Tamandua tetradactyla: one gene and its partners. The protein of the gene in region 2 interacts with the protein of the main gene of each other region in a pairwise test. Links are inferred from orthologs where the notes say so. Each region holds a gene or a part of one and is shown on either strand. Other genes may lie near its edges.

Region 1 (6,909 bases), on a different chromosome or scaffold from region 2:
TAGTAAGCCTTCAATAAGTTAAATGAATACTGAATGAATAAATCTGTCCTTTAACTTTATGGTGTTTCTGCCAACTACAGGTTGCTTTACGTAATAACTATCAATATTTGCCTTCATAGATTCTACCTCTGTAGCCATGTTAAACAGTTCATCCTATTTCAAGATCGGAAACTGTTAACCGTTTTTTTTTTCTTTATTTTATTTATTCATTTTTTTTTTTTGGCATGGGCAGGCTCCAGGAATCATACCGGGTCTCCAGCATGGCAGGTGAAGATTCTGCTCACCCATTTTTTGAGTCATAATTTTCTGACTCTGTATTATCCAAGTGTTTGGCCAATTGTTCCAATATAACTTTGGAATATTTTCCCACTAATTTAAAATGCCACCATTATTATACTAAATAACATTATATAGTTCTAGATTATTCTTCTTTTCTACTTTCCTTGTCTATTTCAGGCCTACTACCTATTGTTTTAATTACCATAACTTTATTGGCATTTCACAAGTCCCAGGAAATGCCAATAAAGTCCCAGGACTTGCGAAATGCCAATAAAGTTATGGTAATACCAGAAAAGACTGCCCGTGCCAAAATAAAGAAAGAAAGAAAGAAAATAAAGAAAAAAAAACCGTTAACAGTTTCCGATCTTGAAATAGGATGAACTGTTTAACATGGCTACAGAGGTAGACTCTATGAAGGCAAATATTGATAGTTATTACATAAAACAACCTGTAGTTGGCAGAAACACCGTAAAGTTAAAGGACAAATCTATTCATTTAACTTATTAATTGAGTGCTTACTATGTGCCAGGCAGTATTTTGGTTGTATGGAATCCAGTGATAATTGGATAATCCAGAACCTAATTATTCTCTTTCAAAGTTTTGTCTACTTTACAGGTTATTGCTCCAAATGAATTTAAGAATCATTACTTTAAGTTTCCAAAAGGAATTCAGGTTGGAATTATGTAAAATTACCAGCCACATGACTTCTGAAAATTACTTAATCTCTCTGTGGCTATTTCCTTCATTAATAAAATGGAGATAATAGTACTTACTGCATAGGTTTGTTACATGAACTAAATGAATTTTAAAAAAATAAAGCACTAAAAAAAATAAAAAGTAAACTACTTAGAACATTACGCTGAGAAGATGTTAACTATTCTTATGAACTATTTAACATGGTGGCTGTTCTTACTGATTTGTCCAATGTTTTACAGATTGTTATTCCACAAAATTCAAAGATTCTTTAAGGTAAATCAAAAGGCCACCATCACACACAAGCAGTAATAGGAAAAATACATCACTTATGACTGCTTCATTTCACCAAGGCCTTGGCCCTTGGTCAAATGAAGAGCTGGAGGTAAGAGCAGAGAATCATGAAAAACACCAAAGAAAGACTGGTGGCACAAAGCCCAAAAAACTTTACAAAGATTGGCCCACCAAGTGGAGAAGACTTCTAGGCCCTTCCAGTAGACCTAAATGAGTATTAACAAGTCCCTTCTAACCACCACTGTTTCCCCATCTCGACAGTTATACTTACCAACCTTAATTTCTTCCCAGAATACACATAGGGACCAGCTGTCTAAATGGCAGAATATTTTTCAAACGTGACAGGGGGCAGGAACAGATTACAAATGCAATTGATAAAGATGGATACCATTCTGAGAAATTCTATAATAAATTACTTCCAACAGGTTTTCCACATCACTGTCCTGTTTTGTTTTCGTTTTTGGGGGGGAAGAAAGTGCAGGAAGTTCAGTTGCGGTTTTTTCCTTGGGGGACGGGAGAGCCGGACCTGTCTCATTAATAACTGTTAATAATTTGATTACCCTGCATGAAATTGGTATTACCTAGAGATCAAAGGTCCAACACATTATAGATATGTAGGGCCTTAATCTCATCTACAGACATAAACTATAAAAGAGGAAACACTAGCCAAGACTGACAATGTACTTGCTAATTACACAATTAGCCAAAGGTCTAAAACTCAAATCTCTTACTTCCCAGTCCACGGTTTTTGCCATCACACCCACAACCGCTTCTCCCAGACTCTTGCCACGCTTTGAGGTGGGAGGAGTCACAAGAAAATCTGGCCACAGCAAAGCCGCTCCAGAACCACAGGACGGCACAGCCGACGGCACGTGACTAGCCACTCCCCTTCCCTCCCACCCTCCCCCTTCCCCGCGCCAGCAGCACGCGCTGCCAACCCCGTCATGTGACCTTCACGCGGCCCCGGCGCTCCCCCTGCTAGGCGACTCTGTCTCGCAGCCATTTTGCCGAGAACTTATCGTTCGTGCTCACAGCGGAACAGGACCATACGAAAACCCACGGCCAGATTTCACAGGCCGCATACGCGCTTCGAAAACAGCGCTTGGGCCCGTCACCGCTTAGTCTAAGCTCGCTGAACACGTCGCACCCCGGGGCGCCGGAGAAGCAGCGGGTGCGCCTCAGCCTGCGATTGGCTTATGGTGCTCACGTGACGCCATAGCGCTCTCCCCCCACACACACACACACACTCTCCTTACCCCCTACCCACAAAAAATACCCACAGACTCGTAACACCTCGCGCCAAGTACACGCCACTGGGCGCGTGAGAACTGACGAAGCGCGTGGCAACCAAAGCGCCTGCGCGTACCTGACAGGGCAGACCATAGCCAGCCCACGCGCCGCTCCGCTCACGGGTCCGGGAATCCTCGCGCTGCCGTACCACAGGGCTAATCATTGGCTGCCAGATTTGGTCACGTGCTAATCCCAGGCCCGCCCCTAACCGCTAATCACCTGGCACCGCATTCGAAGCAGCGGGGAAAGTCTTTCACACGCGGAAAGGGTGGGTAGTAACAGGACCTTCTTTTCAGGCCTTATGGAGTTAAAGCCATAAAGGCGAAAGGAGGAAGCAGGGTCTCAAAAGTAAATAAGGTCACACCTACCGGCTTAACCTCGCATACCCCTCCAGGAGCTGAGGATCATCGCCCTTGGGCGCCCCCGATGCACGCCGGGATATATCTGGCGCCCCTCAGTATGCTGCAGAGCATGCCGGGAAAGGCACCTCTCCCGATTTCCTGGCTCTCACCTCTGGGTCTTTCTTTTCAGGTCCCCTTGAGAGCCCCGTCTATGAGCTCTGAATGAGGCTGTGTGGGTAATTATCGGCGTGTGGCTTGCTATTAACAAGCACTTTCGATACCCCTCCCCGACTTGGTCCATCTGTGTGGTCTTAGGGAAACCTCTTAACCTCTCACGGAGCATGCATTTAATAAGTGCCTTGTGAGTGCCTTTGTGAATATTGCAAAAACTTGAGCAAGGGTATTTGCCTACAAGTAAACTACCAACCTTTCATGGTCAGTGGGAAAGTATCCTACTTTAGATAAAACTTACAAGCCCCGCTTGGAAGAGGAAATATAGTTATATTATTGGGATTAGAAAAGCAGACCTTGCTTGGTTATATATTGCTATAATTGCGCAGGAAGCGGAGGGCATTTTAAAGTGGCCAGGGACGTGGGCCTGTTACACATTCTGGTTCCACTTAACACCAGCCAAATATTGGAACCGAGATAAACACACCCTCTGATAACGCTGAGAAAGGGGGTCTTACATTTAAAAAAAAAAAAATCGTTTTGTAAATTGTATTAACAAACTGAGCTCGGGCCAAAACCTAATATTCTACTCCCCAAGAGCCCACATTTATAATAATTCATACCTCTTCTGCTTTGCACTCCATTCTCAGCTTTGCTGATTGCAAAACTTTGTATTGTCAATTTACAAAATTGAATTGTCAAAATATGGGGAATTTGAATAGCACTGGTCAAGAGCTCCCACTTATAGACAAGAAGATGTAATAATTTATAATGTGGTTAACAAGCCACAGCTCACAGTATTACCAATCACAGCACCCTTTCCTGGTTTTAAGGTACTGTATAAGCCTAGTTATCAGAAAATTGTTTCCTGACTATAAGATCAGAAGGAAGGGACTGAGTTATCATATATAATACAATCATTAAATCATAAGCATAGTCATGTTAAAGTTTATAAAAACACCAAAATACTTCATTACATTTAATCCTAACAGAAAGTGAGAGAAAAGTACTATATTACCATCTTTGAATGGGGATCTGGAAAATTTATTTTAGTGTGTTCTCCTGGCAACTGTGATGCACAACTAGGTTTGAGAACTACTGGCTATAGTGAAAAGAGATCAGGCCTTGAAGTCAACAGATCTATGGTCAACTTGCAGTTCTGTATTTACTATACTATGACATTAAACAGGTTTTCAGACTTTTTGATGTTCAGTTCCTTTAAGTACATATTGGGGCCAATCATACCTACTCTTTGGATTGTCATGATTCTAATGTAAAAATATAAAAACACCTAGGACAATATCTGATAGCAGGCACTCTATAAACATGAGTACTAGTTAGTGGCAAAGGCTATATTTAAACCAGTATCCCATACTCTCTCCAATGCAGCACTCTTGAATGCTTTTTTTCCATTATTCTGTTTCTCCCCTAGACAGTGCTAGAGGCATGCTGACAGATTCGTACATGGCAGATCTTTTTTAGACTCCATAGTGACTTCTGCCCATCTGTTGGTACATATCTTTGCAGTATCTCCCTCCTTCACTTCAAGTTTTTTTTCCTTAACGTGTTAAGAAGCTGAACTGTAGACATTATTGCAGTGAAATAATGATGACACATAAGTGCTTAGAAGGTGGAGGGTGCATCTGTGCCCACACTTCAAAGAGTTTTAAATTGTTAATATTTACCTACTTTGGAGTAAAGAGGCCCTGGAAACTCATTTTTGCCTTTATTGTATAACTCAGTGTTTCAGATGCTGCATCCCAGTCTCCTTCCAATGGTTCCTTTTCCTCTCCTAGTTTCATGAAACATTCCTAACAAACAGAGTTTGGCTTGCACAGAGCTTCTCTCGAAAGCACTACCCTTGGTGTGGCAGTTTGAAAATACTATGTACCCCAGAAAAGCCATGTTTTAATCCTGATTCAATCTTGTGGAGGCAGCCATTTCTTTTAATCCTTATTGAATACTGTAGGATGGAAATTGTTTATTAAATTGTCTCCACGGAGAGGTGACATACCCAATTGTGGGTGTGACTTTTTGATTAGATGGAGATGTGACTCCACCTATTCCAGGTGGGTCTTGATTAGTTTACTGGAATCCTTTAAAAGAGGAAACATTTTGGGGGGAGTCAGAAACGACAGAAGCCACAGAGCCCAGAACTGACACAGATGCCCACACTTGAAAAGAGACACGGATGTTTGAGATGCTTGGAGCCCAGCAGATGCTGCCATGAAATGTTAAGCAAGCCAGAACCTGGAGAGAGCCAAGGGAAGACAAGAGGTGAAAGCCAGTCCAAGAGAAGTAAAGAGAGGAACCTCCACAGGATCAGAGGCTGAAGGCATTGGAGCCCAGGAGCAAGGGACCAGCAGGTGCCAGCCACGTAACTGCCCAGCTGACAGAGCTGTTCCCGGCACATCCGCCTCTTTTTTTTTTTTTTTTAACATGTGCAGGTACCAGGAATCGAACCTGGGTCCTCAGGCTTGGCAGGAAAGCATTCTTACCTACTGAGCCACCGTGGCCCGCCCACACATCAGCCTTTCTTAAGTGAAGGTAACCTCTTATTGGTGCCTTATTTGGATACTTGCACTTCCTTAGAGCTATAAACTTGTAACTTATTAAATTCCCCTTTTTAAAAAGCCGTTCTACACTGAAAGATCAAAATAGAAATGTTAGCGTTTATTTGGTGTTCTTTTCGTATTTAAAAAAATAAAATTGAAAAAAAAAAAAAAAAGCCGTTCTAGAACGCCACAGAACCACGAAACAGAGTCCACCAGCCAGCAGGTTTTGGAGCTGAAGAAGGATAATGCCTCCTGGGGAGCGTCATGAAACAAGAAGCCAGAAGAGAATGCTAGCAGATTTTGCCATGTGCCCTACCAGCCGAGTGAGAAACCCTGAACGTCATCGGTCTTCTTGAACCATGATCCGTATGAATGGGACCATTGCCAGCCTGACTAAAAAGTACAGAAAAGGGGCAAATTGAAGAAAAAATGAATTCAGACACAGAACCATGGAAGCTGAGGCATCTTCTCATGTGAAGAGAGTGGACCCACCCAAAATGTGGAAATGGAGTCCTTTATAACAGGATAAAAGACAAAAAGAAGACACTTAAAGAAAGACCCCTAGAGAATCTGAGTGAGAGGAGCCAGAGAAGGTGGGAAAGAAGCTCACAGAGGGGGCAGCCAGAAGTTGAAAGCAAGGAAACCAAAGAGAGAAGGACAAGCAGATGTCAGTCACCATGTGTTTTGCTTTCTGACAGAGAAGCCCCAGATTGCCAGCAGCTTTTATTCAGGTAGAAGGTATCATCCCGTTAATGCTTTGATTTAGACATTTTCATGTCTGAGAACTGTAAACTTGTAACATATTAAACTGATTGTTAAAAGTAAAAAAAAAAAAAAAAGCCATTCTAGTTGTGGTATATCACATTCTGACAGTTTTCAAAGTAAGACACTTGTCTTAAGGTTCTAAAATTCCACTGACAGTTCATCCCAGGAAGGCTAGCTAGTCAGAGCCTAAATCATATTAACCATATTCACAATTTTGTTAATTTCGTGGGACTCCGGAAAAAAAACAAAAGTCCAGGAAGTACACATAGCAATGTTTTTTTGAATGTGTCCTATACATAACACCTGTGGATTTGGAGTTCTATTTTCAAACACAGAAAATGGTATGCCACCTCCCATCCTTTGCCTGAGTTTTGCTTCTGTCGCTAATGTTGCATAAGAAAAATATTAATCTGAGAAAAAACTTGGGTTCTTTCCTCCTGACTCAATTCCTAACCCGATGAATGATTTGGACAAGTTTTAACTCCTCTGGGTCATGGTTTGTAGGTAAATGGGAGACACCG
Region 2 (6,966 bases):
TTAACATGTCTGCTTTTTCTCCATGCTGTTGTGATGATCTTGTGACAGGTAATATTTAAAAGGGAAAACTCTTAGGTCACCTTAACACCAAATTAAAACATCTAGGCAAAATGAAGATTAGCATTCTATGGAAAACATTTCAGTAACTTCATATACCAGTTTACATCAAAGCCTATGAGGATGAATACTATAAAAAGAGGAAAGTTCTCAAGAAGTGTAAGTTGAAATCTCACCAAGAAAACTTTATTCTCACTAGAAAGCCAAAAAATTCCAATTCAAAGGATGAATCTGCGCAAGAGGGCTTATGAGAGCTCTATCCAATCACTACTTTCTGACCCTAATCAGGCCCTGAGGTAGCTCTTACAATAATTATGAAGAAAAAAAAATATTTTAAATAGAATTGTCCACATTATTAAGAAGAATAATTGAAAACAAGGAATACAATTTTCAAATTCTATTTCATGTATAAATAGATGTTTGTGACAAAGCTTCAAAGAAAAATAAAGCAAAACAAATTTTTTTTAGTGACTATTACCCAGGAACAATTTTTAGGACTTCTGGAACAACTGCATCCTTAGATCTTAAGGAACTATCAGCTCTCAATAAATAAAATTTTTCCTAATGCCCCTCTGCTTAGACCATCTGCAAGATCTGTTTGCTCTAATGAAGAGCTGGTACACGTAAGAATGCTTTCCTTTATTCTGTGGTTATTAAATTCATATACCACTGGTACCAAAAGGGCCTCCTGCAAACCCTAACCAGCCCCAAACAGCTTGACTGTTCCACACACATCATTTTAAAAATCAGAGAAACAGCATAAAAGTACAGATCTCCAATATTTCTTGAAATACAGGAAAATCTGGCAACACTAAACCCTTATCCCACATGGTAAAAATCTACTGGAAGTGAGTAGTAGCACCGTTTTAGGAGAGGTATGTGCTCCACTATTCCCCTCTTTCTACCACTTTATCCTGACCATCTCACTGCCTGACTCCCACAGGCATTTCTATACACTTCTTATTGTTCCCTACTTTTAATTAGATTTTGTTATCCTTATTTCTCTTCCCCTCTCTGATTCTGATTTGTTTTTGTCTATTTCCTTTTTTCTTTCTCTAATCTATTCATAGAATATCCACAGTACTGTCTCATTCTCCAACGTGAGAGTACTGTCTATCTAAATTTACAGAACTGAGAACATAAATATCAAAGCCCTGAGAAATTATTGATAATACTTTGTGTGGTCTCATCCATCACCTCTTAGCAAACCTTTCTCCCCAATACCACCTCTCTTCAACAATTTTGGTATTTTCTTTATACCTTTCCTTCAACTAAAATATAAAAAGAGTTAGACCACAATCAACTATATGTGCCACTTTCATACTCAAGCTTTAGCTCTTTTAAGAACACTGCCAATTTGTATCATGCTGTGCTAAATCCTATGAGTCTGTAACAGTCACATGACTTAAGGTAACTTGCATGTGGCTTCAGCTTCATACAACTCTACAGATATAGTTTTGCATACTACTTATTCTAAGTAAATCTTCTGACCACATTCCCCTGAAATAATCCTACAATTTACTTCAGAATGCTGAAAGCAGTGTTTCTCATTTCCAACTTACATTCTGTCAACTAAACCCTCTATGTGAAAGCTACAGAAAGAATTCCTTTCTTTGCATACAGCTGCTCCCACTCACCTACAGTCACTGGAACCTATTACCTGAGAATCTAGAATTAAGAGATTTGCAACCTCCCCCCACATTCAGAACCCCAGAACAAGGCCCCACCTCACCTTAGTGGTTAACAGGAGAGGCTACTTAAATATTAAAAGTAATAGAACGATATTTTTCTCTCTAACCCCAAAAGGATTAGAACTGAACGGAAATGAAAATGAAATGGAGAGTAGGAGACGTACCGCAGATTGAAACCTCGGTTGCTCTTCCTGGAATAAGAGAGAAAAAAATAGAAAATAAAGAAGTTATTTTTACACTTCACATTCAATAATAAGAAAGAAAATGCCGGCGGCAGAGGAAGCGGCGGGTGGGGAGTCAGTCCGACCCCCCTTCCCCCCCCCCACGTTCCCCTCCCCAATCAGCGGGATCCGGTAGTGGGGCCGGGGGAGTCCCGAGCACCGCCCCTCCTTCCGGGATCCAACCTGGGTCGGGGGGGGGGGGGAGCGGTCCTGAGCACTTTCTCCTTCCCTGGACCCAGCTCGGGGCATCTGGGCACTCCCAACCCCTCTCCGCCCTCCCTCATTCTCCAGGATCCGAGGGTCACGAGGAAGGGATCGCAGACCGAGGGTGCAGGTCTTGAGCGCCGTGCTCTTCCCCAGGATCGGGACAATAGGATCCTAGGAGCACCCCATCCCTGTTCCCTGGATCCTGAACCAGATAGGTTGGGAGCGGGCGGCCGTAGCACCCTCATCCACGAGGGGAGGTGGGGGTCCCAGACGCCGCGTGTCTACCTTCCCATCTCTAGTCCCAAGAGGCCTCTCCGGCCAGGAGCCTTAAGAGGAGTGAGCCCAGAGCGCGACAGAAGCGGTCCCGGCCCGGAAGGGAAGGTAAAGGAGGAGGCGGCGGCCCGACCCCCTCCCGCCGTCGCCCGGCTGAAAGCCCCGGTTGCTGTCCCCGCCTGACAACCCGCCCGGGAAGGAAGAAACCCCGGGACTCACGTCGCTCTCCACCTCGATGTCATCGTTATCGCTCATTTCCTACGGCCCAGGGAGCGGCCACTGCAGCGGCGGCGGGGAAGGGGGAGGGGTGGAGGGGAGGGGGAAGTCACCGACAACAACAAGCCGAGTCCCCCCACACACACACACAACACACACACACTCACACTCACTCACTCACTCGCTCTCTCTCTCACATACACGCACACACACACACACACACACAACACGGGCGAGAACCACCTCCTCACTGCAGCACCAGATCAACGGCGGCACGCACGCCCGGTCGGCCCCCTGCCACGTGACCGAGCTCGTCACGTCTGGGCCGCCGCGACTTGTAGTTCTCGTCCCTTTGACTGACCCCCCCAGCCGGCGCCAGAAAGACTACAAATCCCGTCAGGCACTGCATGAAGTCGACGCCAGCCCGGCTTGTTGATGGGGCCCAGAGCGCCTGCGTGTCCCGTTGAGGGGGCGGAGAGAGAAGCGGCGCGGTGCCTGCTGGGAGTCGTAGTCCACAGACCGCGAGTTGTCAGGAGGGTTCCTCCCAAGGCAGCAGAGGAGGCTTCTGGGAAGTGAGGACACGTGGAGGGGTCGAGGGTTGCTGGAGCTGGGCGCCGTCTGAGTTCAGGGCGCCGGGTCCAGGGAACACCGTGGAGGTGCTTGAGGAAAAGCCGGCTCCTCAAATCACGCTGCCTCTCCTTGGTGCGACTTATTTTACTTGTCTTGATATCTGGGGCGTAACCCGCCTGCTTAGGGAATCCTGCTGCTGTGGGCTAGGCGGCGCGATTTCGGACGCCCACGCTGATTCCAAGATGCGGCTGTGGAGAGGAGCTGTCAATGGAAGGTCTTAAGTGGTGCTATAGGGACGGGCAGGATGACTGCTTAGCCTTGGGACTGCTTGCAGCCACGGGAATCTTGTAGTCATCCATCCAGGAATGACCATTCTTTTTATTCACGTGAGGCTCATACATTCAGACCTCCGACTCTCAACAATTGTTTCCATGGAAGTAAAAGCCCCTTTTGAGTTTGTTATAGTCAGGCAGTTTAGGGAGTGCCCAGTTAAGAATTTCAAAACCATTTAAAATCATATTTAAATGTGTGCGAGGTGTGATCACATCCATCCCACCAGTAATTTATTAAACACCTAACACGTGCCAGCATGGGAATGCCATAATATTAAAGACCGGAACGATCTTTATAATGCCGCTCACAGATGTGGAAACAAAAATGAGACTGCCTTGCCACCATTGTAAAGAGGAAGAAAAAAACAATTTGGAAAGACACTTTCCACCCTGAGATAAGCAAAATTACCGAACTACTCTTGTACATAGATCTCCAAAATGAATAAAATTTTGAGCATTTCCCATAGATTATTAATTATCTAATAAAAACCATTTTACCCTTGACCTTTGAATGTGAGACTCAGGCTCCCCATGCGAGCGTATCATCCATGCTGAAAAGGCAAATGTCAATGTGGCAATTTCTCCTTTACACTTCCTTTATCTATCGTATTTCTTGTTCAATGATCCATTCTACTGAAGTCTGCATATCATTTACAAGTAAACTTAGTTTTTCTTAATGCTTTTGTCTTCCTTTCACACTGTATTCCTTGCACAACTCTTAAGGGAGACAGGCATAAGTAGACCATTATGTGGTAAGAGCTGATAAAAAAGATAGCTCTTGGGTGAGTTAATTAAATTTTGGAAGCTAGGACTAATTGAAGGTGACAACAAATCACTTTCGGGTCTCTGCTATGTGCAAGCACTATAGGGCAGTGATTCTTAACCCTTGTACCGTGACAATCTGCTAAAATCACCCCAAGAGCTTTTAAATATCCCCATGGCCAGGCCATGCTCCAAGTTAATTAAGTCAGCTTTTGGGTGTTTCCAGTGTTACCTCTCAGCCTGAGAACCTCTGCTATAGAGGGTGCCAAGACAAATAAGATGGTCTTCCACTGAATCATACTTTTTTTTTTTATAGGTGCACGGTCCAGGAATCAAATCCGTGTCTCCCGCATGGAAGGCGAGCGTTCTACCACTGAACCACCCATGCACCCTGAATCATACACTTTTAAAGCACAAATTTTATAGTATGTAAATTATGTCACTAAATCTATTAATAAAAAAATAAAATAGTTTTGCCCTCCTGGAATTTAAAACTTGATAGGGAAATAAATTATGAACAGCTGTTGCAATGAAGACATTATTTAAGTGCCAAATTAGTGAACTGGGTAGTGAATGCCGTACTTTCTCAGAGGATGGAGAAATACTCCCAGATCTGGAGTGAGAGTGGGAAGTTCTGGATGGTCAGGGAGGTTTTAGGCTGTCAGACAGTTCCATCAGAGCAAGAACTGGGTTCTCAGAGACTGGATCACATTTTTCTCACCATTGAATCCCTATTTGATGGGTGGATGCTTGGGGTTAGGAAGAGCTGAGGAGGAAAGACTTTCCAGGTAGAGAGACTGGAGATTTGAACATATCTCCTTTTTAGTAATTGGTTTAAAATATGAAGACTTGTCAACCTGATTAATAGATTTGACTTAATAGGCATAAAACTTGGCATCCAAACAATTGTAGAATTTATTCTTTTTAAATACTCATGGACTATTTACAAAAATTGACAAGTCATAAAGCAAATCTTAAGTTTCAAAGGTCTGCGATCTTAGCATGTTTTCAGACCTAATGCACTTAAACTAGAAATAACGAAAACAACAATAAACTAGAAAACCTTCATAAGATTGGAAATTAAGAAACACTTTTAAATTCCTCTGTTGGAGGGACTTTCATGAGCAAGGCACATATGCGGGAAGACATTAGAAGTAAGAATACAGAGAAGTTTCCTTTGGTTTTCCCTTTCAGTGTTTTTCTGATGTGAATAATAATGTAGAACTCTAAGGATGCATTTTCATCTCTGCACACTTGAATTTCTTTGGTGATGCTCTATGGGAGCTTATCAAGACTGGAGCTTGTCACTGGATAGATAGCCCAGTTTCCCTAGTCCCTTGCTACTTCAAATGTGGTCTATGGACCAGCTAGTTAGAAATGCAGAACCTTAGGCTCCATCCCAGATCTCCTACATCAAATCTGCATTTTAATAAAATGCTCAGGTGATCCATATGCACTGTCTTTGTTTCCTGGCTGTTAAGAAAAATACCACACAAGGGCTGGTTTAACAACAGGAATTTATTATCTCTCATTTGGAGACTGGGAAGTCTTGCTTCCTCCTGGGGTGGTAGCGTTCTGGTGGTGGCAATCCTTGGGTTCCTTGGCTTTTGTGTCACATGTGATGTCCTCTCCTTTCTTTTCTGCTTCCATTGACTTTTGGCATCTGGCTCCTCTCTGTGTTTTTCTCTACTTCTGAATTTCATTCTGCCTTTAATGAACTACAATAATCAGGATTAAGGCCAGCCTCATTCAGTTGGGCCACACCCTAAATAAAATAACATTTTCAAGAGATGCTATTTACAGTGGGTTCACACCCACAGGAATGCAGATCATGCCCAAGAACATGTCTAAGTTGTGGTCCGTAATTCAATGGACCAGATACAGATTAGAGTTCAACTAGCTCTGACGTGGGAAGAGGGGGGCACTGAGTGTGGGGGACGGAGAAACTGCCTTCATTTTCTCCTCAGCTGTTTTACAATTTGACTTCCATCTATCACTTAACTAAAATTGCTCTTATCCAGGCCAACAGCTACCTCTTTATTGCTAAATCCAAAGCCCTTATCTTATTTGACCTAATGGTGGCCTTTTACAATGTTGACCACTCCTTTTTCTTTTTTTTTTCGTTTCTTTTTCTTGAAGGCCAATAACTCTCTTGCTTCTCTCCTTGGCTGCTCTGGTTCCCATCCTCTGGTTCTTCTTGCCCTGTCAGTGGCGAGTTCCAGGGGCTCTATGGCTGGCCCTTACCTCTTCTCCTCTGACCCTCTGCCTGGTAGGATCTGCCTCCTGAGGCATTGATAACCATCTCTCATGTGGTGACCCCAAGCTGTTTTGCTCTCTTAAATTCTAGTTTGTTATATTCAATTTATTTCTGGATATATCTCCTTGGGTTACTCGATCAACAACTCAAAAGTCAAGACTTAATGAGTGAAGAAAAGCAGGTTTTGACACAATATTTGGAGGATGATCTATTCACAGAAAATTGAACATATATATATGAGTATATATGTATGTGTAGAGAGATGTTAGTAAAAGGATATTCAACAAAAATACTAATAGTAATTATCTCTGGGAAATGTGATTTCCTTCCTTCCTTCCTTCCTTCCTTCCTTCCTTCCTTCCTTCCTTCCTTCCTTCCTT
Region 3 (7,034 bases), on a different chromosome or scaffold from region 2:
TTGTACATTTAGTCACTATCATCATACACTCTGGGCATTCCTAGATTATACCATCTCAATCTTTATTGTCTAGCTTTCTTTCTGTTTTCATTTATGCCCCCAGCCCTCCTCCCTCTATCATTGTCACATTCAGCTTCATTCAGTGTTTTAACATAATCGTATTACAGTTAGGTAGTATTGTGTTGTCCATTTCTGAGTTTTTATATTCAGTCCTGTTGCACAATCCGTATCCCTTCAACTCCAATTACCCAATATCTTACCCTATTTCTATCTCCTGATGGTCTATATTACCAACGAAATTCTCCAAGTTTATTCACTAATATTCTGAAAAGAATTTGAGGGGACATTTTGTTGTTTTGATTTGGGACATTTTTGTCTGCAAGTTAATCATTTCACTTACAGTTGTCTAATAGTGAGCAGCCTTGGTCAAGTGAGCAGAATCTGCCCCACAAATTGTTCACTAATATGCTTATTTTATTATTTTAAATAAATATAAACAATGCTGCACCGTTATGTTATATGGACGTTTAATTGCATCTTCATTAACTTTGATTTTTGCCATCTTCTTTTTGTATTTTGGAGACGATTTTTTTTTGCATGTCAAACTTTTGAGACGGTGCTCCAAACCTCGGGGGCCTGGCCTGGTGCCGTGGCTGGCTGGTGGGGTGGCTGCTGCACCACCCTGGGCTCTGGCCATGGCTCCGCTACTGACCAACTGTGACCTGATAGGCCCTGCCTCTCCGGGCGGAGGCTCCTGCTGGATCGGAGCTGATCCTCAGGTTTCCTGCCACTTCCTGGGCCCCCTCTGTGTCCAGCCCACCCTGCTTAGGGCCCCCCAGGCATCCTCCCATTCCAACACCCAAATGCCCCAGCTAGGGAAATGGAGGCACAGGGAGGTCAGGCGACTTGCCCAAGGCCTGGTGGCCAGACTAGGATGCAAAGCAGTCTGGCGGTCCCCTGGGTCCTTGGAGGAGCTGGTCTTGCACACAGTGAGGCCACAGGGCTGGGGGCTGGGGACCAATGTCCTGGGGGCTGGGCGATGACCCTGGCAGCCTCTGGCTGTGTACATCTCGCACAGATGCACTCCTGCCCCCAAGGGAGCTGTCAGAGCCAGGGTCTGAGGCCAGGTGGCTGTGGGAGACTCTGGAAGAGGGACAGCCAGGGGTGGGGTGGGGGGATGCTGCTCCCTGGTGCAGCATTGAAGTCCCGGGCACTGCAAAGAGCCTTAGGCGTGTTTCCCCATCAGGTGGGGGGTGGATCCTGGGTCCCGAGGAAGGGAGCCAGGCCTATCGGGGTGGGTAGGCTGGGAAGCAGCCTTCTCTAGGTCTCTTCTTAGGACCTTGGCTGCCCTCCTGGGGTGCTGGGAGGAGGGGGGGACAACCTTTTCCAGCTCTGGGCCAGGTACCCGCATCCCACCCTGAGGCCGCCTGTTCGGGCAGGCACCATCATCCCCGTTAGATTGCTAGGAAAACTGAGGCTGGGGCAAGGGCAGAAATCCCAGCAAGTCCAGGCAGAGAAGTAGCTCTGCCCTTCCACCCAGAATCCGAATGAGGGGTAGGTTCCCCCCAAAGAGTAGTGAGGAAGTTTGGACAAGCCAGAGCCGAGTCCAGAACTGTGCTGGGTCCAGGAAGGCCGCATGGTGGAGGGATCCTGGGTCCTGCATGAAGGGGGGTGGGCGGAGGCTCAGGGTGCGGGTAGGAGCCTATGCTCCTCTCCAGCACCTCATGACTAGTCAGTCCTGCAGGTCCCTACTCTGGAGAGGGGGTACCAGTCTGGGAAAAGGATGGGGGGCGATGAGGGGGCCGCTGGCTCAGCCCGGATTCAGGGAGGGCTTCCAGGAGGAGCGGTCATGTACCTGCTCACAGAGGGGCTCAGGTTAGGCGGAGTTGACAGGACCCCTACCCACCCAGCGCCTCCGCCCGCCCCCGTATTCCGGGACACGTGCCCAGGGAGCTGCGCACCTCCCCCCCCCCCCCCCCCCCCCCCCGTCCGCCTCCCTGTCCTGCCTGTCCCGCTGGCCGGCTCTCCCTGGTGCAAGCACCAGCCTCACACCAAGGCAGGCTGGGGCCTGCATCAGGAAGGGTCGGGCCTGGGTGTGGCTGGGGGTGGGGGTCCGAACTGGCCTAGGTAGAGCGTAGGGGATCCCCCTCTCCTAGGCTGAGGTCAGGCAGGCAGTGGCCCACCTGGGCCCACCACTGCAGCTTCTGTAGCCCAGGCCCCAGGGTGGGTCCTGCACCCTGCCTCCCCTGGGCACCTTTCCCACCAGGGCGCAGAATGCACCTAACTCCCAGAATTGGGGACCCCTTTACCCTGCTCGGCTCTGGGCAGCTCTCCGGGCTACTCAGGAGGACCCCAGTGAGGAGCTCTTGCTGGCAGGGCCCTGAGATGCTGGCGGGGCGGGGTGTTGCAGAAGTGCAAAGGGCCAAGGTTAATACCCACAGGGGTTCTCTTCATGCCCCCACCCCCGCCCGCGGGAACTGGTCTTCCCATCCCGGTTGCACAGGTCGGACCCCAGCAAGCCGGGCTGGGCGAAGAGGGGGCTCTGGTATCGAGGCACCTGGGCCATCCCTCGGCCGGGGGGGGGGGGGGGGGAGTCCTGTGGAAGCTCTCGGATCTGCTGGGGGCTGCCAGGAGACCCCGGCCAAGTCACTAAACCTCCTCAGAAGTCTCGATTTCCTCATATGTGAGCTGGGGATGAGAAAATGCACAGGAAACGCCTACATGGCATTTACAAAAGTATAAGGTTTTTACACTTTATTCGATTTGCTGGTGGTAGCAGCTGCCACACTCCCCCATCGAGAACTTCTGCGGTGGTGCAGGCAGCTCGGTCCACAGACCCCAGGCCTGCCGGCCCCGCTCCTCGGTCACCAGGCCACCGACCTCAAACAGAAGCCACTGGGAAGCGGAGGGGGCCGGAGGCGCCCGGCCAAGAGGTGCCCTCCCGGACACGCCCGAGGTCTGAGGCTGCCCCGCGAGCGGAGGCTCCCTCTCCTCGCCAGCTCTGGGCCAGCCCCAGGGTCCGAGCCCCCTCGGGCCGCCGGGCAGAAGCTGGAGGAGTCCAGCCGCTCCCAGCGAGGTCAGCTCCCCTCGCTAGGCTCCCCACGGAGTGGATCAGTGCTGAGCTTCCTGCAGGGCAGCCGTAAGGCCCGCAGCCCGGCGTCGCGGAAGCCCCTCCGCACCGTGGGGCAGCCCCGGGCCCCTCCTCCAGCCAGGGCGCCTCGGGCAGCTCGGAGCCAGCCGCTCCCTCTCGGGGCCTCCGTTTCTTCCTTGAGGTCCCTGTACCCCTCCTCACACGCCGGGCCTTTCCTGGGCGTCAGTCTGTCCGGCGGGGAGGGGGCTCGCTTTGCAGCCCCACGCGCGACCCCCAGCTCCCCTGGCAGCGCAGCGTTTGTCGCCGACCGGGCTCAACAGCTTCCCCGCGGGCGCAGAGCTCGGGCGGGCGGGGCGCAGGGGGCCCGGCGCCTGGCCCACGGGTCCCCGCGGCTAACGGGTCCTGGGGGCGGGGCCGGGCTCCCCGCACGCTCCCCTTTCTCTCCACAACGCGTCGGGCCGCAGCTCCCGTCATTGGCCGGCGCCCCGCGGCCGCTCATTGGCCCGCGGTCCCTATTTTACATAGACTCCTCTGAGCCAATCGGTGCCCAGCGCCTACTTAACATGCACGACCGCCGCCAGTCAGCGCGCGAGGGGGCCGAGCCACCACGTGCTGTTGCTAAGCTTGGGCTACTAAATTGTTACTACCGTGGCCGGCCTATCGCAGCCGAGCTTCGGATCTGTCAACATTCTCGGCCCCTGCCCGAGGGGCTCGCCGGGTTTCCATTGGCCGCGGCCCGCCTCGGCACCCGCCCCCCAGGTCGGAGCGCGAGTCCTCATTGGCCCGGCCGGCCGCCGCTCGCCCTGATGTGTCAATTTGCGGGGCCCGAGGCGCAGGGTGGCGGCCGGGCGTGCTGGAAGTCCGCGGGCTCGGGGAGCGGTGCCGCGGGGCGCGCGGGCGGGCGGGCGGCGAGCGGGGCCGGCCGGGAGGGGCCGGGCCGGGCCGGGGGCGGCTGCCGCCGTCCGGGAGCGCGGCGGGCGGGCACAGAGGATGGAGCTGAACTCCCTGCTGATGCTGCTGGAGGCGGCCGAGTACCTGGAGCGCAGGGACCGAGGTAGCCGGCACCGCGCCCCTTTGTGCTCCGGACGGCGGGGGGTGGGGGGCCGGGGGCTCCGATGACCGCGCCGTCTGTCCGCAGAGGCCGAGCACGGCTACGCTTCGGTGCTGCCCTTCGACGGCGACTTCGCCAGGAAGAAAACAAAGGCGGCCGGCCTGGTGCGCAAGGCCCCGAACAACAGGTACCGCCCCCCGCCGCCGGACCCCCTGGGTCGGGGTCGCCCCAGCTTGGCTGGACCCGGGCGGCACCCCGCGTCCCTCGCGGCCCAGCCTCGACCCGCAGCCCCGGCCGCCCCGCGCGCCCCGGCGGCCAGCCTGGAGGAGGCGGCGCTCGCCCGGGCTCCGCGCTGCCCCGCCTGCCGGCCCCGCCCGCGCCGTCGCCATCTTCCCCGCGGCCGCGCCTCCCCGGCCGCTCGCGTAAACAGTGCCACGCGTACAGCGCTCGCCGCCGGGGTCCTGGCCGCTCCCCGCCCCGACGCGTTCTCCGCTTCCTCGGGGAGGGAAAAAAGTTGTCAGCGGGGAAACTGAGGCTCCGCAGAGGGCAGGGTGAGGCTGCCAGCCCTGACCCCAAAGGTCCCCCTCTCCGCGGGTGGGTGCATCCTGCCGCGTCCCCCCTCCCTGACCCAGGGCCGAGCCTGCCCCTCTCTGGGCTGAGCTGACCCCGCGCCCTGGTGCTTCTGATGCTCGAACAAAGGCGACCCTGCCCTGGGCCCCAGCCTCCTCCCGGGGTGCCCACCTCAGGCTACGCAACCTCGTGAACATGACAAACTCCAGAGACCAGTACAGGGGGCACTTCAGGGGGTCAAGAGGTCTTCGTGGGGAACCAGGGTTAGCTGAGGGGTGAGGGGCAGGCTGTGACCCCCTGTGTCTCGGGCTGTGTCCCTTTGGCCCTGTTCCATGGGCTGCAGAAGCTCCAAAGCTGGTGCTCGCATTCTGGTAAGGAGGGGTCACTGTGGGGCAGGGCTCGGCGCTCCTGGCCCTGCCAGGGGCCCCTTTTGGCCTCTGCTGCTCCCCTGCCGTTCTGCCAAGACCCCTGCTTGCAGGGGCTTCAGGGCCCCTTGGCTGAGGCGGGCCTCATTCCTGTGGTTTGTTGGTTCTTGGGAAACAGGAAGGCTGGCACTGGGACCTGTCTTGAGTGACGTCCTGGCCCTGGGGGCGCTCGGTCATTCTCCAGCTGCCCCAGCTGGGGTGTGTGTCCAGGCCCGATCCCCCTGCTTGGGATGGTTAGGGTGAGGCTATGGGGGGTGTCCCTACAGCCAGCCCCCCACAGCAGGCCAGGTCCTGCCACCCATGGAAAGCTCTGGGCTGGGACCTCAGGCTCCCACTGCGTGGAGCACCCAGAGCTGATGTCCAGCGCCACGACCAAGGCTTCCTGACCATTTCCTATGCTCACAGTGTCTCACATGCCCAGTTTCTTAATCTTCAGGGAGGAGGGGAGGAAACTGAGGCCCCAAGAAGCTGACTTACTGGTGCAGGGCTACCCCCTCCCCTGCCAGCTCTGGGTGACTCATCGGGGTGGTCCTGGCCTCCCTGTCTGATGGGATAGGCATTGGGGGAAGGAAGCATAGGGTCTCCTGCACCTGTGCAAACCTCCCTTACAGGGGGCCTGGTTTACAGGGACACTCCCTTCCCAGGGGGTGCTTATGGCTGTTCTGACCCCAGATGGGGAGCTGGGGCAGAGTAGGGGGTCCCTGGGCCCTGACCACGCAGACATCCACAGGCCTGTACAGCTCCCCATCCTGCTGCAGTAGGAGACAGGGTCCGGTCATAGTTGGGGGGAGCGGGGGTGCTAAGGAGCCATCTTTGGGGCTTAGCAGGAGGGGGCTGAGCCAGCTTTCCTGCTGGGACTTGCATTCCACTGGAAGGCGAGGAGAAGACCACTTTCCTCGGGGGGCTGAGGAGTGACCACGTGGTTCACCTGGCCCCAGACCCCTGCAGAAGTACGTCCCAGCACCTGGGCCTCACACACCTCTGCTCAGGGACCTGCATGCCGAACCTCCCCCCAGGATGGGCTCGGGGCCCCCTCCACCCCCCAGGCTGCTGGGGGAGTGTGCCCTGTTTCCAGGATGGCTCCCAGGCAGCCAAGCTTTGGGTTAAGGGTTGCCCCTACAGGTGGGTGATTGGGGAGCCTGCTGCACCCCCTTCTTGTTCCCAGCTGAGTGACCAGCAGGCCCTGAGCCCCCGGCCCCGCACGACTGGTGATGGGACCGTGGTGGGACCGTGAGCTGAGCCCAGGCCCAAGCGGCAGGTGTACCCAAATGGGGAGGCGGCAGTGTGAACAGATTGAGGCATGAGGGCGCCCATGGGAGACGCTGGGGTGGGAGAGAATGCAGGTGGCAGCTGACAGAGCCTCGGGCAGGAGGGCACTGGGGGGCAGTGCTTGGCCTGGAAGGGTCCCGGGCCATCCTGGTGACACTGTCCACTGCAGCCCCCAGCTAAGTGGCCCGATGGGAGGGGGCATTCCAGGCCTGCGCCTCTGTAGGACCAGGGGTCTTCAGTCACACAGGGGCCCCCACCTCTGGAGGGCCCCTGTCCTGAAGGGCTCCGGCCAGTCTGCAGGGAACCCTTTGTGCTGGCCCACTCTGGTGCTACGGAGAGCCGTGGGTGATCGGTACCACTGCCCCTGGCCTCCCCGCCCACACCCCCACCACACCCTGGGAGGGCCTCACCCAGAGAGCAGGGTGGCTCTGGGTGCCCTGGCCCTCATTGCCGCCCCCTGCCTCAGCCCTCTGTGGTTCCCCCTATCCCACCCCCGCCTGCCCCTCCTTGCACTCGGGGACAGGCAGTGCAGTGAGTGGCGTCTTTCTGTCTCTATGCAGGTCTTCACACAATGAACTGGAAAAGCACAGGTAAGTGACCTCCCAGCCCCAGCCCCATGTGAGCCCCC
Region 4 (7,038 bases), on a different chromosome or scaffold from region 2:
AAATAGAAAAACCAATAAGCAAATTTATCTGGAAGGGCAGGGTGCCCCGAATTGCTAAAAGTATCTTGAGGAAAAAAAACGAAGCTGGAGGTCTCGCGCTGCCTGACTTTAAGGCATATTATGAAGCCACAGTGGTCAAAACAGCATGGTATTGGCATAAAGATAGATATATCGACCAACGGAATCAAATAGAGTGCTCAGATATAGACCCTCTCATCTATGGACATTTGATCTTTGATAAGGCAGTCAAGCCAAGTCACCTGGGACAGAACAGTCTCTTCAATAAATGGTACCTAGAGAACTGGATATCCATATGCAAAAGAATGAAAGAAGACCCATCTCTCACACCCTATACAAAAGTTAACTCAAAATGGGTCAAAGATCTAAACATTACGTCTAAGACCATAAAGCGGTTAGAGGAAAATGTAGGGAGATATCTTATGAAACTTACAATTGGAGGTGGTTTTATGGACCTTAAACCTAAAGCAAGAGCACTGAAGAAAGAAAGAAAGAAATGGGAGCTCCTCAAAATTAAACACTTTTGTGCATCAAAGAACTTCATCAAGAAAGTAGAAAGACAGCCTACACAATGGGAAACAATATTTGGAAACGACACATCAGATAAAGGTCTAGTATCCAGAATTTATAAAGAGATTGTCTAACTCAACAACAAAAAGATAGCCAACCCAATTACAAAATGGGAAAAAGACTTGAACAGACACCTCTCAGAAGAGGAAATACAAATGGCCAAAAGGCACATGAAGAGATGCTCAATGTCCCTGGCCATTAGAGAAATGCAAATCAAAACCACAATGAGATATCATCTCACACCCACCAGAATGGCCATTATCAACAAAACAGAAAATGACAAGTGCTGGAGAGGATGCGGAGAAAGAGGCACACTTATCCACTGCTGGTGGGAATGTCAAATGGTGCAACCACTGTGGAAGGCAGTTTGGCGGTTCCTCAAAAAGCTGAATATAGAATTGCCATACAACCCAGCAATACCATTGCTGGGTATCTACTCAAAGGACTTAAGGGCAAAGACACAAATGGACATTTGCACACCAATGTTTATAGCAGCGTTATTTACAATTGCAAAGAGATGGAAACAGCCGAAATGTCCATCAACAGACGAGTGGCTAAACAAACTGTGGTATATACATACGATGGAATATTATGCAGCTTTAAGACAGGATAAACTTAGGAAGCATGTAATAACATGGATGGACCTAGAGAACATTATGCTGAGTGAATCTAGCCAAAAACTAAAGGATAAATACTGTATGGTCCCACTGATGTGAACCGACATTCGAGAATAAACTTGGAATATGTCATTGGTAACAGAGTCCAGCAGGAGTTAGAAACAGGGTAAGATAATGGGTAATTGGAGCTGAAGGGATACAGACTGTGCAAGAGGACTAGATACAAAAACTCAAAAATGGACAGCACAATACTACCTAATTGTAAAGTAATCATGTTAAAACACTGAATGAAGCTGCATCTGAGCTATAGGTTTTTTTTGTTGTTGTTTGTCTGTTTGTTCATTTGTGTCTTTTTTTTACTATTATTATTATTATTTTTTTCCCTATATTAACATTCTATATCTTTTTCTGTTGTTTTGCTAGTTCTTTTCCTAAATCGATGCAAATGTACTAAGAAATGATGATCATGCATCTATGTGATGATGTTAAGAATTACTGATTGCATATGTAGAATGGAATGATTTCTAAATGTTGTGTTAATTTCTTTTTTTTCTTTAATTAATAAAAAATGCTTATAAAAATAATTTTAAACAGTGGTATATGCATAAGATGGAATATTATGTAGCAATAAGACAAAATGACGTCCTGAAGCACATGATAAGATGAATGAGCCTTGAAGACGTAAATGCTGAGTGAAATAAGTCAGACACAAAAGGGTAGATACTGTATGACTCCACTTTTATAAGCATGGTAAAGGTAAAATCAGAGGCTTATAATACAGAATACAGGGGTCTTAGAAATACATAGAAGCTTGAGATGGGTGAATGGTTAGCTAATGAAGTTGAACTCCAATGTAAGGAAATAGATAGGAGTGAAGGTGGTTCTCTAGTGGGTCTATAAGTAATATATCATATAGAAGGTGAACATGATTGAAAGGGGCTGTATATGTATATATATAATCCCACTAACACTAGAAACATAAATACTTTCTTGCAAGAATTAAAAATTAAAAATATAGAAAAATAAAAATAATACAAAACCCATATAGCCAACTTCAGTATATTCCCACACATGCCAAGATCCATGAATTTCAACATTTTTTTTGCCACATATGCTTTATCATTCTGTCTATCTATCTATCTATCTATCTATCTCATCCATCCATCCATGTATCTGTCCTCTAAACATCTGAGAGTAGGTTGTACACATCATGTTCCTTGGACACATAATACTTCCCTCCCAGTACATTTCCTAAGAACAAGGAAATTCACTTCCGTAACCACTTCAATGTCTAGAATTCTTTGACATCCTTCCTACACACTGATAACACCTATTTGGAAAAATCTCCCACCTCCCTGGTCCCACACTTCCGGGGACGTGCTCTCAGCCTTGCCTCTTTTCTGCTGAGGCTGCGTCAAAGCTGCAACTGGAGGTTTGTGTGGTTACTATAATGGCCTCTCTCCCCGACAAGTGTGACCTCTGCAAAGGCTGGGCCCCCATTTGTTTTGGCCATTGCTGCATTAATTCCCCAGCTCCCAGTACGGTGCCTGGTGTCCAGTAAGTGCTCAGCAGATGTTTAGTTGGCAAATGAATGGGTGGAAGGGTGCGTGGACAGTCCGAAGCTGGAGTTCTGGGCTGAGCATGTCAGTGACCCTCAGAGAAACTCCAAGGTTATTAACAGGGACTTAAGGAGCTGTCTGGCACGAGGCATGTGTTTACCTAGGACTGTTTTTATAAAGCATCCACCCCCCCTTTCCAGATTATTGTGACCGCAGTCGCAGCCAACGCCTGGGTAGTAAACGCTCCACCCTGTCACGGCTGCTTTCATCTTCTGTCCCCACCCTGAGACTCTGTCACTGACCCCAGCAGGCGTGGCTACGCCTGCTGATGTTCCTTCCCAAGGCTAGGGAGTAGATCACGTTCAAGGAAGACTCCGAGTAAGGCACCCAGGAATCTCCGGGCGGAAGCAGCCCGCGGCAGCAGCCCCTCCGCGCTGGGCACTGCACAGGCAGCGGCTCCGACCTTCGACGCCGTCCCGGGGCTTCCAGAGCTCGGAGACTAGCGGTCAATCCCGAGACACACGCAGCTGAGGAGTTTGCCGCGACAGGAGAGAAACGCAACCCCGTAGACTCCAGATCCCAGGCCTCTCTAGAAAGCCAATTCGCGGGCTTCCCGGGCAGGGGCCGGGCCAGGGAAGTTGTTACCCTTCCGACGTTCCCGTAGAGCTTCCCCGCGGATGACGAGGAGAAGCCAGATGCAGGCGGGCTTGCGGACAGATCCCCCAGCGCAGCAGCTGGGTCCGCGCACCTCAGCCTCGGCGCCTGCGCACTGCGGCCCCACGCCCCGCTCAGCCCGCCCCCATCGCCCTGGTTTTCAAATTTGAAACCTGCTGCTTTTCCCGCCCGAATTTGTTGACCAGAGGCGGGAGAGGGCGGAGCCACGCGCCAGCCAATAGCGCCTCAGAGGCTCCCCGGCCCCGCCCCGAAGATGACGACAGCGAGACGCTGGAAGGAATCGACAAATAAACGAGCGGCACCTAGCCGTCCCACCTCCGCGGCGCCCACGTGCAGAGGTCGGGCCAGCGGCTCCCCCTCCCCGAAGGGCCACTGTCGGCTCAGAACACGACCCACTTGGTGCTAGAAACTGAGGTCCTGGGGTCCCGGCGCGGGGTCCCTGAGGGAAGAAGGCCAGATGCAGCCCCGCTAGCCCGGAGTCTACCCAAGCGTCAGGCCTGGAGCCCGCGCCCCTCCCACTCCCGTGTCCCGCGAGGGTCCGAGGCTGCCTCGGGGTGGGCGGGCCCGTTGGGGGCGGGCCGTTGTTCCTGGGGGGCGGGGACTGGGCGGAGCGTCCTGGGGGCGGGGCCGGGCGCCTGTGTTTGTTGCACCGTGTCAGTTACATTGTAACAAAAGTGGTGCGGACGCTGCTCCGGCCAGCACCCCAGGCCCGCCCGCAGCCAGCAATTAGCGGCATGGAACCCGTGGCCAGCAACATCCAGGTCCTGCTGCAGGCGGCCGAGTACCTGGAGCGGCGTGAGAGAGGTGAGGAAGTACCTTTGGCGGGACCCCAGGGACAGCGATATCGCTGACAAGGGCCTGGACTAGACTTGGCTCCCATTGCAAAGGATGCATGACTCTGACTAGGGCAATAGACCCGGGGCGTCCCCGCCCTCAAATAGAGAGGTGTCCGCCAGCGGCCGGGTAGGGATGAATGTGGGAAATGGCCCAGGCGCCAAAGGCCCTTCCCTGGCCCTGTCGTGCCAGGGGCGCCCATGGGGACCGGCCCCAGCTTGACGCGGGCGGGGGCTCTTTCTGGCAGAGGCCGAGCATGGCTACGCGTCCCTGTGCCCGCACCGCAGTCCAGGCCCCGTCCATAGGAGGAGGAAGCGAACCCTCGAAGCTCCTGGCGCGCTGGATAGTGGGCGGTGAGGAGGGTCGGGGATGGCGGAGAGGGAGAATGGGCGCTGTCCTTCTCGGGGCCCCTCCTCTGTCCCCTTTGCTTCGTCCCTCTCGCTTGCATCTTCTGGGCCAGGTGCTCTGTTCCCGGAGGCATGCAGATCCCTAACCATTTTACCTCTTCCTGTCAATTCCCCACATCGGAAACACGCTCACATCCTTCCCATTCATTCAAGGAATATTTCTTGAGCTTCCTCCTTTGCTTTCCTTGCCTCAAATCTTTGCACATGCTGTTTCCTCCAATTTGAATGCTCCTCCTTCCACAAACCCGCCTTGGGAAATTTCTATCTTGGGTCCACCTCAAATGTCATGTCTGTGCAGGAAGCCCTTCCTGACAGCTGGACAGGCCTCTCATAGCATTTGGCTCATTTATGTCCCTAACTCCCCTGACTCCTGCTTGGGGGCTCTGGTACCAGAGGCCAGCACAAAGTCCCCATAGGGATGTTTAGCGCCACTGGGGTCCTGGGACCGGGTGATGTTGGGCAGTAGCTGATGCCTCCTCATCCCATCCTCCCTGGCATTGGCAGGTCTGTGCACAACGAGCTGGAGAAGCGCAGGTGAGTCCCAGCCCTGCCCTGACAGCACAAGTCCCCCAGGAACTCCTCCCTCAGGCTTCCCTTCCCCTGCCGTCCCTGCGGCCAGCAAGGCAGGGTCGGCACTGCCCTCCAGACCCTTTCCCCTGCAGGAGGGCCCAGCTGAAGCGGTGCCTAGAGCAGCTGAAGCAGCAGATGCCACTAGGGTCTGACTGCGCCCGGTACACCACGCTGAGCCTGCTGCGCCGTGCCAGGGTGCACATCCAGGTAAGGAGCCAGTTTGCCATGGTACCTGGAGGGGGCTAATATGGAGGGACTGGGTGGAACTGGGCAGAGACGCCTGAAGCCAGAGCCCAGCTGTGCTTAAAGTTACCACGCTTGTTAAATGTGAAGAAAAGTAGAAAATGACCCAGAGGGTAGTTCTGAACCGTAAAGGAGTTCATGCAATAAACGATAACTGTTGTTATTACTGTTATTCTTACTTAGACCCTAGCTGTGAGACATTGGGCAAGTCACAGTCTCTCTGGATTTCCGTTTCCTCCTTTGTCTGGGGTGGGGGTGGGCGGTGGCTGTTGAAAGGCACTGTGATCGGGCAGATACAAGGGTCCCTTGGATTGTAGAGGATTGGCCCTGGCCTCTCCCCTGCCCCCTTCCTTCAAGGCTTCCTGCCCTGGACAGTTTGTCCTGATGCACTCTGGGCATCTGCCCCAGAGACCAGGAAGGGGAAAGGGCAGAGAAAGCACCAGGCAGGTATCTTCCCAGGATCTGGCTCCCGCTGGGCTGAGCTCGAAGCCCCCTGGTGGGCCGGACTGGGGTTTACCGACTTAAAGCCCCAGCCTGTACCAGACATGTCAGGATTTTTACTAGGGGCCTTGGAAACAACAGAGGGCTTTTTCCATCCTGGCAGAGGAAGAAATGGAAGCACAGCCAGGTTAAGGGCCAGGTCTAACAGATGAGAGGCAGATTTAGGACCCAGACCTAGGGCCCCTGGTTTGCATTCTTTCCTTCCACAAGTATTTAGGAAGCACCACCTCTGCCAGGCACTGATGTGCCAGTGAGCAAATAAGTGGGAACCGGTCAGTCTGTCTCACAGGTGCCAGCGATACCCTCGTTATGGCTGAGTGGTACCCTAGTGGGGTCTGGAATGGACTAAAGGGCTGAAGTCCCACTTTTGCCTCTCTCCATCATGTATGGCTTGCTCTGGACTTTAAGTGATCCCGAAGTGTCTGTGACCTCTCTCCCTGCTTAGGCACCTTCTGCAGCTCCCAGTTGTAGTGTCCGTTCAGAGTCTCCATCACCCAAGCCTGTCCTGCTCTTAGTGACCCACCATAGGTGACCATCTGCCCCCTCTCCCCTACCTGAAATGCCCTCCATCTCCCTACCTCCCTTCACTCCCTCACGCACTCCAAACCCCGACTACTCCAGGGCCAGGGACCCCTCTCCCCTTTGGTAGGCAACATGGTTCAGTGTCTCACACGGAGCTTGCCTGGCCGGGCACTCAGATGGCTGATGTGTGCCTGTCAGGTGCCGGGCGGACCGTGGGCAGGACCCAGGTTCTCTCTTTCCTCGAAGTCCCTTTATCTCCTCTCCTGAACTGACACGGGCCTCCTCCTGGGCCCCTGCTTCCTCTTGCCTCCACCAGGCTGTCCTTCACTTTGCCCTAGCGTGAGCTTGGCAGCACAGATCCATTTCCAGCTGAAAATCCTCCAGTGAAAATCCACAGGATCAGTGGCTCCTGATAGGACCAAGTCTCAGTTCCTTATTTCCTGTGAAATTCAAGGTCCTTCGCAATCCAGGCCTTGCCACTGATCTGCTTTTTTGGTCTCATCTTTTTCCCATTTCCCACAG

What was found.
Region 1: the proteins of MAX (region 2) and MGA interact in binary tests that used the Homo sapiens proteins (3 or more experiments, as listed by UniProt). The link is inferred for Tamandua tetradactyla from reciprocal best matches to the Homo sapiens genes MAX and MGA.
Region 3: the proteins of MAX (region 2) and MXD4 interact in a two-hybrid assay, tested with the Homo sapiens proteins (2 studies listed by BioGRID). The link is inferred for Tamandua tetradactyla from reciprocal best matches to the Homo sapiens genes MAX and MXD4.
Region 4: the proteins of MAX (region 2) and MXD3 interact in a two-hybrid assay, tested with the Homo sapiens proteins (4 studies listed by BioGRID). The link is inferred for Tamandua tetradactyla from reciprocal best matches to the Homo sapiens genes MAX and MXD3.

Annotation. Positions count from the first base shown.
Region 1 is NC_135340.1:55,242,453-55,249,361, reverse strand, and holds the start of MGA (MAX gene-associated protein), read right to left. Parts: upstream 3,002-6,909; 5' UTR 2,925-3,001; intron 2,824-2,924; exon of another isoform or gene 2,650-2,823; coding exon of another isoform or gene 2,633-2,649; intron 2,142-2,632; exon of another isoform or gene 1,998-2,141; intron 1-1,997. UniProt on the Homo sapiens protein: Functions as a dual-specificity transcription factor, regulating the expression of both MAX-network and T-box family target genes. Functions as a repressor or an activator.
Region 2 is NC_135338.1:22,368,817-22,375,782, forward strand, and holds the start of MAX (protein max), read right to left. Parts: upstream 3,004-6,966; 5' UTR 2,705-3,003; coding exon 2,669-2,704; intron 1,940-2,668; coding exon 1,913-1,939; intron 1-1,912. UniProt on the Homo sapiens protein: Transcription regulator. Forms a sequence-specific DNA-binding protein complex with MYC or MAD which recognizes the core sequence 5'-CAC[GA]TG-3'. The MYC:MAX complex is a transcriptional activator, whereas the MAD:MAX complex is a repressor.
Region 3 is NC_135345.1:2,085,460-2,092,493, reverse strand, and holds the start of MXD4 (max dimerization protein 4), read left to right. Parts: upstream 1-4,019; 5' UTR 4,020-4,081; coding exon 4,082-4,145; intron 4,146-4,229; coding exon 4,230-4,329; intron 4,330-6,966; coding exon 6,967-6,996; intron 6,997-7,034. UniProt on the Homo sapiens protein: Transcriptional repressor. Binds with MAX to form a sequence-specific DNA-binding protein complex which recognizes the core sequence 5'-CAC[GA]TG-3'.
Region 4 is NC_135346.1:59,027,175-59,034,212, reverse strand, and holds the start of MXD3 (max dimerization protein 3), read left to right. Parts: upstream 1-4,016; 5' UTR 4,017-4,173; coding exon 4,174-4,243; intron 4,244-4,520; coding exon 4,521-4,626; intron 4,627-5,184; coding exon 5,185-5,214; intron 5,215-5,342; coding exon 5,343-5,457; intron 5,458-7,038. UniProt on the Homo sapiens protein: Transcriptional repressor. Binds with MAX to form a sequence-specific DNA-binding protein complex which recognizes the core sequence 5'-CAC[GA]TG-3'.